2 linked regions of the Diceros bicornis minor genome follow. The protein of the gene in region 2 interacts with the protein of the main gene of each other region in a biochemical or structural test. Links are inferred from orthologs where the notes say so. Each region holds a gene or a part of one and is shown on either strand. Other genes may lie near its edges.

Region 1 (7,457 bases), on a different chromosome or scaffold from region 2:
GATATTATTTGTCTAGAAATTGCCAAATGGTACCACTCTTAACATTAAATTTTGGCTTAAAGGAGCCAGGTTTTACAAAGTATCATTCCTATTGTTTGCATTTGAGATCATGATCTCATTTTTACTGAGAACCAAGAGCATTCAAAGCACATTATAGAGGCTATTTTGTTATTGTAAATTAAAGAATTTACTCTCTAAGCAGAAAACGCTGACATGGGCATTAAACCACAAACACCGTTCCAACCAAGATAAACTGCATTAAAATTTTCTCAGGTTGTCATAATCTCTTGCTTTACATAGCATTTTAGATTTACAAAGCACTTCACGTATCTTCATAATTAACTTAATCATCCCCCAAAACACATACTCAAACCCAAACATTTAGTTTTAAAATATCAGTGCTTTAATATTTAAATAAAACTTGTAGGTCAAGGACCCAGAGAAACAATAACGAAAGAAAGCTGAAAAATTAAAACCGATGTTAGACATCTTGGGGAATATTTTCCTGCAACTTCAAGTGGTTGCTTTACAGTTAACTGAAAAAATGTTGCAGGGATCACGCAGGGAGGAAGACGACAGGGAGTCCTTTATTTTCCACTTCACATTACACCTGGTGACCTGATGTGCCACAGGTCACCAGGGCCTAATCCTTCAGGGCAATTGATAGTGGAAAGACATTAGCTAGGCTGGGTATGTATGCTGCAAGTCCGTTTTCTAGCTTACCTACTTCCTGCAAAGGTAATCAGCAGTCCTGTTCCCTTTTAATGGAATTTCACAGTTGACAGAGGAGGCTGACGGCCTCCCCTTAACTAAATGCAGTATCTTCTTTGCCCTGATGCTCCAGGAACTCATTTTAAATAGCCTTATCTACCGTTACCTAGTCCTTCGAGCACAATTGCTTCATACACTGACTACACAGTGGAAATCATTCACCGAGGTGGCAGTGCTTTTCATAAAAGTGTACTTTTGAGATTTCTAAAAGGAAAGAAAAAATTAAGCACCTTTATTAGCACCATGTCTGTGGGACTCTCCCTTCGAGATGTTTTTTCCCCAGGTGTGGAGTCAAACAGAGCCATCCATCAAGGAAAAACTAAGCACCATATTAGCAAATTTGTGGGACTCTCCCTTAGAGATGATTTTCCCCAGGTGTAATGGATTCAAACAGAGCCATCCATAAAGGAAAAATTCAGTACTTTATTAGCACATTTGTGGGATTTGCCCTTGGAGATGCTTTTCCCCAGGTGTGATGGATTCAGCCATCCATCCATACGTTTTCCCTAGGGTCCCAACAAGACACATGTGCCACACAGCCAGCTGGTGGCAGGGTGAACTCTATGGCACTATCACCCTAGTACAGTCCCCCAGCCTAGGAAAGGTGGGAGTTAAGGAACCCTAGCCACAGCCCTGACTTGGGGGAGCTTCCTACATCTACAAGAGGTGGAAGAGGCAGGGTGTGTGGCAACCTAAAACAAAACCCCTGCTCCTCAGACTGGAACAACTGGAATTCCCTTAGTTCCAGCTTTCTAAACTATTTTTTTGGGGAGGGAGGGGGGTCACCGACCTTTTAGGAATCAGTTAATAAAAGCAATCATTCTCTCACCAGGAAAAAAAACACACACACACACACACATATGAACACAATTTCACCTAGATTTACAGGGTTCAGAGACCCCTGAAGCCCATCCTTTTATCAATTCCTCCCCAACCCCCCCAAGTTAAGAACACCTGGGTTCACTATAAATTACCTGAATCTGACACCTTTAGCCCTTACAGTATTTTTCTTAAATAAGGCCTCTGTCCTCATCAACAGGGTTACAGGTCTAATCTCGTGTTGACAGGGTCTATTTTAAATGACTCCCTCTGCCCTTCTGCCATTTGCCTGCTCCGTTCTAGTTCCCCCTCCCCCACTGCAAGCTTTCAACAGTTTGTTGCCTCTCCGATCTCTGAGCTCACCCAGGAAAGTCGAAGTCTCTCCGTGCCCAGTAGATACAAGCTACAGTAGGCAGAGACCCAAAGCTACAGGGGAAACACAAAACACACACCCCCCGAATGAGCCCAGCCTGGCTCGCCAACTTGGACCGCGCAGCGCAGTCGCCGGGGCTCCCCCGGCTCCTCCCGGGCGCGTTTCTCCGGAAACTCTGCCCTCTGAATTCTCCTTGTTGCTTTCCCCTTCGCTCACACCCGGGCAAGGGGCTGCTCCACTATCTGTACGGGAGAGCAGGCGCGCCTGGGGAGGTCGGGGGCACTAGACCCGTGGAGGGGGTTAACGTCAGTCCGCGCGGGGCCAGCCTCCCTCCTGCGGCAGGGGGTGTGTGACCCGGCGGCGACTTTCCCGGGAGTCCTGCCCGTGTGAGAGTGGCCGGGGCGGCCGGGCGCGCGCGTGTCATTCCGGGCGAGAGTTCGGACTCCCGCCGTCTCTCCAAGTTCCCCGAGTGAGTCAGCCCTGGGGTGGACGCGCCTGGACTGGGGGGCCCGCGCCAGGGTCCCCAGGGCGAAAGGACCCCGGCCTAGGGAGGAACTGGTCCCCAGCCCCTGGCACCGCCAGAGGGGTCCGGGATGCCGTCCGTGCGCCCTGCCGCGCCCCGCGCGCACCTACCAGATGAAGTCGGTGCAGTGGCTGCAGAAGGTGGGCTGCTTGAAGAAGCGGGCGATGAATTTGTGGTCCTTCACTTCGTGCACGTTCTTCTGTCTCAGCGCCCCTTTGCGGGCGAAGCGGTTGGCCACGTCCTGAGACGCCGTGGAGTCGTTGGCCGGGAAAACGTCAGCCATGGTCCCCCCAACCACCTCTTGCCTCCGCCGGGGAGCAGCAGCCGGGGAGGGCCGGGTGGGCGGGGGCGAGCGGGGGAGGGGCGGCGGGGACGCGGGCCGGGGGCGCTGCGAGGAGGCGCGGCGGAGGAGGCGGGGAGAGCCGGGCCGGAGCGGGAGCCGGAGCCGCTCGCTCGCTCGCTCGCTCGCTCGCTGGCCCCACGCTCACTGACAGCCCGGCGCCCGGCGCTCGCGCTTCCTACTCTCGGCGGCAGAGGCGGCCGGAGCGGCGCCGCCCACCGCGCATGCCCCGAGAGTGAGCGCCGCGCGGGCGAGGTGGCCGCGCGCCCACGGGGGCGCGCGCGGGGCGGCCGCGGGCGCCGGAGGAGTCGGCGCCTCCGCGTTTTCGGAGCAGCCGGGAGAGCGGAGGCGGCGGCGGCGGCGGCGGCGGCTGGGGGAGGGCCCGCCGGAATTTGGGAGCGGAGGAGGGCGCCGGGAGGGGCGGGCCCGTTCTCCTCCACCGCCTTTCTCTTTTCTTCCCTTCTCTCCTCCTCCTCTTCTTCCGCTCCTCTCTCGTCTTCTCCTCCCACTCCCGCTCGCTCTCTCCAGATCATCCTTCTCGCTCCTCTTTGCTCGTCTCCGGGGTCGGAGGTCTGCGTGGCCGAGGGGAGCCCCGAGTCCCAGGACGGGGTACGACGCAGCCCACGCCGCTCGGTCCGACCCGCTCGGACGCTCACTCTCCCTTCTCCCCCTTCCCAATCCTCCAGAACACGATGTCCAAGTTTTATCAGCCTGTATCAACTTGAGGTTTCACCTGGCTAAAATGTCACTCCAATTGTGTGCGCCCTAAAATGCACAACCCCTAGACCTTCACGCTCTTTCCATATGGCGGGAGAAAGGGAACGATTTTAAATCATTGAACACTGACCCTTTCACCTGCCTCTAATTGTTGGCCTATATTTCACCTGCGTCTTGTATGGACATCTAATTTGGACGTAGGGTGGTTAAAGGACTTGTCCTAGTTATTTATCCCATTACTCGTTGGCTACCACAGTTACAACGTTGATTATCAGGCTTTCTTGATTTTTACAAGTCCAGAAGCTCAATTTAGAAATCATTTTGCGTCCTAAGCTAATTACTGCAGTACTGGCAGGTGCAAAGTGCAGCCAGTTCATTTGTAAATTACCAAGTAAAACTGTTTGTGAAAGGGTAGCTGGCATGGATATGTAAAGGATGCACGTGGGATATACCAACTAATCATTTGCTGAATATTTATTAGTTCTGCCTCTAGAATGCTGAAATGCATAAGGGAAACAGCTATCTCCCAGTATTTCATTATTGTTTTATTTCATTGTCAGATTCACTAAGTTCACAAAACAACTTCATGAACTAAAGACATCAAGAAAGAGAATATGTTTAATCCTTCAAGAAGTTACAAAAAATAGAAAACTTTTCTAAGGTAGATACCACTTAGAGCATATCACATAGACCAAGTAGGGCTACCATTTTTTAAGATGCCTAATTGAATGCTTGATAATAGGAATGTCTTTTATGTTTTAATAGGTGTAAGCTATTGACTGGCCATTAGTGGAGCATGCACTGTGCCAGCCCATTTACAATCTCTTGAACCAGTGTAGTTGGTGCTTAAAGAGAACCTGCTTGATATTCTACCTGGTCAGAAATTTTGCCATTCGTGGCAACCCCCTCCAGTCCAAGGAGGCAAAAAAGAATGAAACACAGTTCTTTCCTCACAGCCATCTTGAAGACAGTGGTCCTCACGCATTTTAGGAAGACAAGCTTCTTTCTATTTCCCTGAAGCTTTGATGTAATGATGGAAGAAATATATGGGAGAGTTGGAGGTTGGGTTGCTGGTAGTGGAATCCATGAGCAAAGTCATAGGGAAGATGAGCTAAGAACCAAGTGGACCTTGGCAGCAGCCTGCCCATCTTCTATGTACAGAGTAGAGTGACTGATCTCATCGGTGAGTAGACCAAATGGAGACAATATTTTTCTTGCAGGGTGTGGCTGTGCTTTCTTGCCTCAGTTATTACTGTTATTACTTGTGGGTATGGAGAGAACTAACTGGAAGTTTGTTGACTGATAGCTGGGCTGAGCTTGAGTGCTCCATTGCCTACAGCTTAGCTCAATTATGGGGGCGGGGGTGGGGATGCGCCTGGGGCAAGGAATTATCATGCAGTGTAACATTGCCTATAGCAAGGACTGATGGGAATGTGGGCTGCAGTTAACCCCTGCTGCCCACCTGAGAAGTCCTCATGGTAGCACTAAAATGGAGGGGATTACAGAAAGGAGAACCCCTAGGGAGGGCGTGGTCAGTCAGTCAGAGTATTAGTAATTATTTTAGAGTCTGCTGTTTCATGGGGAAGGTGCAGGAAAAAAACAGGGAATGGTAGACTGAACAGAGACCTTGTGAGAACCCCCCTCTGTGACCCCTGCCTTTGAGAAGTAAGCTTGAGACTCTTGGGAGAGGTGTTGCCTAGACCAGGAGGACCCGGAGGCTGGAGGCTGGGCTCAAAGTCAGGCCATTAAACTGATGCTTCTGGGGCCGGCCCCGTGGCTTAGCAGTTAAGTGCACACGCTCTGCTACCGGCGGCCTGGGTTCGGATCCCGGGCGCGCACCGACGCACCGCTTCTCTGGCCATGCTGAGGCCGCATCCCACATACAGCAACAAGAAGGATGTGCAACTATGACATACGACTATCTACTGGGGCTTTGGGGAGAAAAAACGGAGGAGGATTGGCAATAGATGTTAGCTCAGAGCCGGTCTTCCTCAGCAAAAAGAGGATGATTAGCATGGATGTTAGCTCAGGGCCGATCTTCCTCACAATAAAAAAATAAAATGTTTAAACTGATGCTTCTGAACCCGAGTGGTTTACTTAAAACCAATAGTCTTTACGATGCTACTTACAACTTGTTGCTCTCTGCAGATAACTGGTCTGTTTTCAAAAGGACCAGGCCATTTTCCTGTTGAGCAATAGGAATTGCTTTCAAGTGTAGAAAAAGCTTGATTCTGAGATTTATAGTAACCAAGATGATTTAAAGGCTCACGTTTTGCTCTATGCGATGAATTCAAGGCTTAGGAGAGCTAAGACAACTAGTGCAATGCATAATTAATTAGGCAGTGTTTAGAGTCAGGGTGAATGGCAGGTCTCAAGAAATGGGTAGAGACAAGGTCTAGCTGGGCAGGAGATGTAGGATGATGTTTCATAAGAGTGGATGAGTCAGAATCCCCAGTCAGAGGTTAACAGCAAGGCTGCCAGGAATGGTTGTGCAGGGGAGTGGGGGAAGACTTACCTTTCACTGTGTCTACCCTTTTGTACATTTGAAAACTTTGTTCCTAGTTTAAAGGTAAAAGTAACTTTTGAAAGGCCTCAAAGCAGAACACCACAGATCTCTAATTGGATATTTTGTATTAAAAGAAGGCCATACTTTGCTAGTAAGTGAAAGAAGCAGGATGTAAAACAGTATTCAAAATAAGATTCCATTTTTTAATGTCTGTACACTTATGTACACTCACATATACATAAATATAAATATGCTTGTGCATGTACACACACGTATATAAAGGTATGTACAGCAAAATGTTCATTTAAGTGACTATCTCTGGGTTGTGGATAGATGCTTTTTTGTACAGGAAGAGAAGCCTTTGACCTAGGACTCACATTTTGAAAGGGCAGTAGAAGCCATATTTTTTGATGTTTTTCTTTAATCAAAAAGGAGATATTTATTATTTTAACACAAAAGGTTGTATTGCCAGAATTTTGTTGTTGCATGGAGTACAAACCGTACACTTTGAATGTAAAATGTTTGAAAAGTCTGTTTTAAATCATTGACCCTCACCTCCTTCTTAGCCCCAGTCCACAACTGGGAGATGAAATCCTGAGTGGACTGCCCAAGGAACCTTCTTGGTGTCCAGGATTTTAGCTTCCTCCATAAAGTATTTTATCTCCACTTTCTTCCAGTTTTTCTATGATAGGCATGGTACCAACCAGATATAGGACTCAGAAGACCTGGGTTTAAGTACTAGCTCCAGCACTAACTGGCTTGTGTGACTTGGATAAATTGTGTAACTTGGATAAATTAACTCCCCCAAGTCTTTATTTCTTCACCTAAAAATGGAGAAATGCATAACTACCCTAGGATCTTCTTAAGAATTTAACCAGATGACGTACATATGAGTGTTTAGTGGGGCGGGCCCAGTGACGAAGCAGTTAAGTGCACACGCCCCGCTTCGGCGGCCTGGCATTGGCAAGTTCGGATCCAAGGTGCAGACGGATTCACCACTTGTCAAGCCGTGCTGTGGCGCTGTGCCATATAGAGTAGAGACAGATGGGCATGGATGTTAGCCCAGGGCCAATCTTCCTTGGCAAAAAGAGGATTGGCAATGGATGTTAGCTCAGGGCTAATCTTCGTCACACACACACCAAAAGAGTGTTTAGTAAATCCTCAAGTCTCATACAAATGTAAGGTAGAGTGTTCCTTCTCAGCTTTATCAAGTCTGCGTTTTGGAGAGAGTGAATTGAGAGCTCTCCTCTTCTAAGCCCATTCTTCCTCCAGAACTGACAGATGTATTTCCCTCCACTCCAGTGACTCTGAATTGGGAAGCAAGAGCTGACACGTGGAGGGAGGATAAAAAACTTATCTTGGAGTTCACATTTCAAACTTAAAATGTTGTCCACCACCCTCACCTTTA
Region 2 (5,985 bases):
GTCTATGTAAATATACTTTTAAAATCTTAAATGAATGACACCACGCATGTACGATCCTGAACTTGCTCCTCTTCTCTTCTGGTTAGGTCTGTGGCTTGTGAATGCTGCCTATACTGCCAATCGATCAAATAAAGTAGTGTACTAACTGGCATGTAGGTGGCGCGTGAACCGGAATTAAACTTCCCGTCGAGCGAGTAAAAAGAATTGACCAATCGGAACGTGCGCGGGCTTTTTAAAATTCTAACCCCTTCCTTGTCGTAAGTAAGCAACCAGAATCAAAAGCTCCGAAAAGCCGATGCTGAGCCATCTATTCAAGATACGATTCCCCGGAGTTTTTTTACAGGGTGGTGGCACACGTAGGGGCCCTTAACTCCCCTTGCTTTAGTAAGCTTTGCTGAGTATGACATTAACTGTAACTTGACGGTTTCGCTTTAAAGTTTTAAACAGAAAAGCTGAAAACGTAAACAAGACTTTAGTAAATATACTGTTGCACGGCTCTCATGGAGGTTGGTCGGGAAGGCAACAATGATGGTAAGTTATTCAGTGCACAGCCATTTTCGGAGATCTCTGGGTGGCTCTGAAAAGAGCCTTTGGGGTTCTGTCGTTTTTAAACGCCGACTACCTACTTCTTTTTGGGAGCTGCCTTCTTCGCCTTCGCAGCTTTGGGCTTTGCTGCCTTGGGCTTGGTGGCTTTGGGTTTGGCCGCCTTCGGCTTCACTGCCTTGGGCTTGGCGGGGCTCTTGGCAGCCTTCTTCGGCTTGGCGGCAGCTTTGGCCTTCTTGGGACTCTTGGCCACTTTTTTGACGCCAGCGGCCGCGGGCTTCTTGGCCTTCTTGGGAGTCTTCTTCACGGCTTTCTTCGCTCCCGCAGTCTTCTTGGGCTTTTTAGGAGTGGCCCCTGCAGGCTTCTTGCCTTTGGCTGCCCCCGCCTTCTTAGCCTTGGGCTTAGCTTCACCAGAAGCCGCTTTTTTGTTGAGCTTAAAGGACCCCGAAGCACCGGTACCCTTGGTCTGCACCAGAGTGCCCTTGCTCACCAGGCTCCTGAGACCCAACTTGATGCGGCTGTTGTTCTTCTCAACGTCGTAGCCACCAGCCGCGAGCGCCTTCTTGAGTGCAGCCAAAGACAGGCCATTGCGTTCTTTAGAAGCAGCCACAGCCTTAGTGATCAGCTCAGAGACTGGGGGCCCGGTAGCCTTGCGCTTAGCCGCGCCACCGCTCCCGGACTTCTTGGTTGCCTTCTTCTTGGCAGGAGACTTCTCCACTGGCGCCGGGGCAGCCGTCTCAGCAGGAGCGGTTTCCGACATAGTGATGAAAGTACCTACTAAAGAAAGAGAAACTCAAAATGCAAAGAGCAAGGTTTGCAATGCTGTCTTGCTGGGGCCCGGGGCTTATATAAGCCGGTGCTGCCCTCTGATTGGTGGAGCGTCCAATCCACCTCCCTCGGGCAGCCGCCTCTCCCGGTTGGACTCTCAAATTGTGTTTGTTAGTCCCCAAAATTTGATTAAATGCTGAAAACAATAGTACAGAATTTGACGCTTTGATGCTCCAAGAGAGGAAAACAGCCTTCGGGTTTACGTATTTGTTTGTGTTTTCATAAATCACGCACAATTGATGAAAGATATATTTAAAAATCCCTTAGGCTTTTCATATGAATCCACCCGGCTTAAATCATCCTGCTACTTAGTTGCATGTTGCAATAAATTTTTACTAAGTATCAAGTTAACGTTTTTTAAAAAGATTTGTTCCTAAATTCAGCCTTTGATTTTTGCAGGAGGAAAGACACTAGGTTCCTTGGTTTGGACATAAACTTTGTTTCAAACTGTAGCAAGTAACACAGGCGTAGGGTGGCTGGTTGCCTACAGCCCCAAATTAAGCACATGGACCTTACTTTAAAAACCGGTTCTGCCTCCTAGGAGTTTCCACATGCCAATGCCTTTAGAGAATGGTATTTTGCAGCTTGGAAAAGTTCAATTGCCAGAGTGACTTCTTCCACCTTGCTCCAAGAGGAATAGAAATTGCTTTGGCTTCAGGATCCGTCGACTTGGATTCAAATTCAAACTTAAATTTGGTACATTTTTTATTGAGATGCTTTCTCTCTTTGATTCCTAAGTGAACCCATTAAAATAAGGACGGAAAATGCTTAGCCCAGATAATGTCCTTTAGAAAAATCTCTGAAACCTGCTTCCAGTAGCCCTCAGGAGCACAAACTGTTTAGATGAATGGGACTTGGTCAGGTTTTCGAGGTGCTCTTCCCAATGCTCTCACTCAAACTCCTTACCTCCATCAACATTTACCAAATTGCATCCTCAGGAATACCCTCTTTTGTAAGCAGCCAGAAGACATCAATGTGGGTATTTTTTGTGTGTTTAAGTGAAGATAGACGTGTATTTTAGAAAAATAATTGGCTACTTGACTATAAGAAGGGTAGATTGGGTATTGAGGGACAGGAGGTTATAGAGGTTCTGAAGAATTCAGGAAAATATTAACATCCAAAGGAGTTCAGGCAATGACCATGAGTTGGAATGGAGAGTGAGGTTTGCTATTTATTTGAGGGTGGGGTGGAGAATGGACAGGATTTTGTGCCTGGATGGTAAGAGATCAGGTAATGGTTATGATCTCTAATGCAGTCAACAGTCAATGCTTCCCTGTGAAAAACTGTGTTAGCCAACACACTTCATCTTCTCTCCAGGAGCTCTTGGATTTGAAAATTCAGTCAACTATGGCCAAATCTGGACAATGACTTGTTTTTGTATGGCCCTCAGGCTAAGAGTGGTTTTTATATTTTAAAATTGTGTTAGGGGCCGGCCCCGTGGCTTACCCTTTAAGCGCACCCACTCCGCTACTGGCAGCCCGGTTCGGATCCTGGGCGCGCACCGACGCACCGCTTGTGCCGCCATGCTGGGCCGCGTCCCACATACAGCAACTAGAAGGATGTGCGACTATGACATAGAACTATCTACTGGGGCTTTGGGGGAAAAAATAAAAAAATAAAATAAAAAATTAAAATTGTGTTAGAAAAGAAAAATGCGATGAAGACCATATGTCTCCTGCAAAACCTAAATAAACTATTTACTAACTCTCTGGCCCTTTTGCTGTGTTTTGAACTCCTCCACATAGACGCAGTTCATGGTATATTGCTACAAGCTTGCCTCTTTCAGAACAATGCAAATCGAGAACTAAAAGAAAAGATTTTAACAGGAAAATGTTCTGAACAAGCATTTCCACTGTTTTTATCACAAAACTTTCAGAAGATCCAGAGGAAAAAACCTTCCATGTTTAAGCAGCAGGAGAGGGTGATAACTTTAAGAGCTAATATTCATTGAGCATTTACTAAGTACCAGGAACTAATCTAAGATACTCTACAGGTTTTAATTTGTCACATCATACAGCTGGACAAGCTGAGTCCCAGAAAGAGGATGAGTAATTTACCAAAAATTATACAGCTAGTACTTGGCAGCTCTGAGTTTGAACCTAGACCACTTGGCTTCATCTCCATTATGATGGGGAGATCCTGGAAGGGGTGCAGAGAGAGAATAATCTTTGAAGTTTGGAAGAGGCAGCATCAAATCGTCCTTACACCTAGCAGGAAGCCAAAAAAGGAGCGCTAAATTAATCTGTAGGGAGAGGCTTCTGGCTCCATGGATCAGAACCGTTTTTGCTGAATCAATTCCAAAAAGCTTTAGAAGGAGCCAGTGATGAAATATAAGCCTCTCTGGAAGGGCAAATACAAAAATAGGGGAAAGAAAGGAAGGCTCAGATGGCTGACCTGCCTTCGAACACTCAGGAGAAAAATTGCCTTCACTTAACTCCGCTAGCTCCTGGAGTTAGGATGTGTACCCAAAAGCGTAAACAGAAAAATAAGGCAATGATAGTCGTACATGAGGAGACTTTTTAAAAAGCTGAAAACATTGGACAACATTAATAAGGAGTCAAGTTTGGAAACAAGGAACAACTTCAAAATGACATCTCACCTTTAATTTCCAGTCTGATTCTCTATTTGGAAAAACAAAACAAAACATGAACATCCAATTTATAGACTGACAGGCAGATTTTGAAAATACTTGAGCAAATTTTTTTTTAGATTTTTACAGCTATTGGGAGCTCATTTTACAGATGACAGCCTGCAAGTCAAAGTGTCCAGGCCTTTGTGGGCCCACTGTTTTCCACACATAATCACATACATGCAAAGCCCCTAACATATGCCTTTGTTAAACATTACAAAAGAGCAACAGAAAAGCTAGCAAGTTTCTAAACACTCATGACGATACTTGTTCTATTCCTTCGTGTCACAGGAAAGCAAATTAAGAGGCATATTTCTTAGGTCATCCCAGGAATCCTTGGCAAAATTAAGCTGTATTTGCCATTTGCACAACTATCCACAGTAATTTGAACTAAACTTTTCTAAGGCATAAGCCAGTCTTGCTTCGGTTACTACATGTAGCCAAGGGTGTTTCTGAAATGCTTGTATCATTTTAAGAATGCCTATCCAGAAACAGCTCCTCACTGCGCAGAGTACAAGCAAGGTGTTCCCGTGGAATCAAGTTGTTGGGTTTACAGAATACACAGTCACCTCTCCAGCCTGTAGACCAATCTCCCAACTGAGCCCACAATAACTATTTCGTCGAAACGCTCTGCACTCTTTTCATATAGTGCTACCATATATTCTGTAGAACAGCTCCCTTTTGGTGACAACGGAGGGGCTCTGAAAAGAGCCTTTTGGGGTAGAGTTCCCTTTGGGGTAGAGTATGTCAGGTGGAACACTAGCAAGTTTAAGCTCTTTCCCCGCGGATGCGGCGCGCGAGTTGGATGTCCTTGGGCATGATGGTGACGCGCTTGGCGTGGATGGCGCACAGGTTGGTGTCCTCGAAGAGCCCCACCAGGTAGGCCTCGCACGCCTCCTGCAGCGCCATCACGGCCGAGCTCTGGAAGCGCAGGTCGGTCTTGAAGTCCTGCGCGATCTCGCGCACCAGGCGCTGGAAGGGCAGCTTGCGGATCAGCAGCTCGGTGGACTTCTGGTAGCGGCGGATCTCGCGCAGCGCCACCGTGCCGGGCCGGTAGCGGTGGGGCTTCTTCACGCCGCCGGTGGCCGGCGCGCTCTTGCGGGCCGCCTTGGTAGCCAGCTGCTTGCGGGGCGCCTTGCCGCCGGTGGACTTGCGAGCTGTCTGCTTGGTGCGAGCCATAGCTAAGCAGAGCCAACTACTTAACACTAATGAGAGCAAGAAGCAGTCGTCCCAGTATTTATAACGACCCTCGCGTTCTGATTCGACAGCAGACTGCTGCCCCGCCCCGCCTCGCCCTCAGAATTGGCTCTTGGTTTAATTCGCTAAGGAAAGGAAGTGTTTTCCCGCCTCTCCTTCAGTTTTTAAGATAATGTACAGAGAAAATGTCTTACTGGCTTTTTAAAAAGCCTCTAGGATGCATCAAAATTCTCAAGAAAATGTTGTCTTCAGAATGCGAAAGTACCTTGCACTATTTTAAGTAAAAGGCTTCATGATTGCATCCTTGGCAAAAAATCTTTACTGAATAACATGAAAGGGAACCGAGAATACGTTAAATGTTAAGTACTGAAGCGGGGTTTGAAATTCTAGCCACTATGGGCTATGCCAGTGTTCTCAAACTTCACCGTGCTTAGGAATCAACGAGCTCGTTAAAACAAAGGTCAGCCAACTCTTTAAAGGTCAGTTTACTGTCTTTGCCATTGTAGTGCGAATGCAGTAGACAGTAAATAGATGAGTCCGACTTTCAATCTTTGTTGTAACAGGTAGCGCCTATTTAATAATGGCCGGATGATCTGCCATTTTACTAGGTGATGGAGATGCTGATGGGGGGGAGGCGGCTACCAAAGCAGCTAGGAATGTTTTAGGGACCTTACTGTTCAAGATGCTACATTTCCCAAAAAACTAATCTGACGCTTGCAGCTGCTTAGCATACAGTGCTACTGAAAGATGCCTACAGCTCTTTAACAGATTTTGTGGGTGGCCCTGAG

The links.
Region 1: of the proteins of H1-5 (region 2) and PRKCA, one has a biochemical effect on the other in vitro, tested with the Homo sapiens proteins (2 studies listed by BioGRID). The link is inferred for Diceros bicornis minor from reciprocal best matches to the Homo sapiens genes H1-5 and PRKCA.

The regions. Positions count from the first base shown.
Region 1 is NC_080757.1:48,863,266-48,870,722, forward strand, and holds the start of PRKCA (protein kinase C alpha type), read right to left. Parts: upstream 3,033-7,457; 5' UTR 2,770-3,032; coding exon 2,597-2,769; intron 1-2,596. UniProt on the Homo sapiens protein: Calcium-activated, phospholipid- and diacylglycerol (DAG)-dependent serine/threonine-protein kinase that is involved in positive and negative regulation of cell proliferation, apoptosis, differentiation, migration and adhesion, tumorigenesis, cardiac hypertrophy, angiogenesis, platelet function and inflammation, by directly phosphorylating targets such as RAF1, BCL2, CSPG4, TNNT2/CTNT, or activating signaling cascade involving MAPK1/3 (ERK1/2) and RAP1GAP.
Region 2 is NC_080753.1:39,365,863-39,371,847, reverse strand, and holds H1-5 (histone H1.5), read right to left. Parts: upstream 1,334-5,985; 5' UTR 1,304-1,333; coding exon 623-1,303; 3' UTR 564-622; downstream 1-563. Other genes in the region: uncharacterized protein LOC131413346, read right to left, coding at 4,628-4,630, 4,851-5,289. UniProt on the Homo sapiens protein: Histone H1 protein binds to linker DNA between nucleosomes forming the macromolecular structure known as the chromatin fiber. Histones H1 are necessary for the condensation of nucleosome chains into higher-order structured fibers.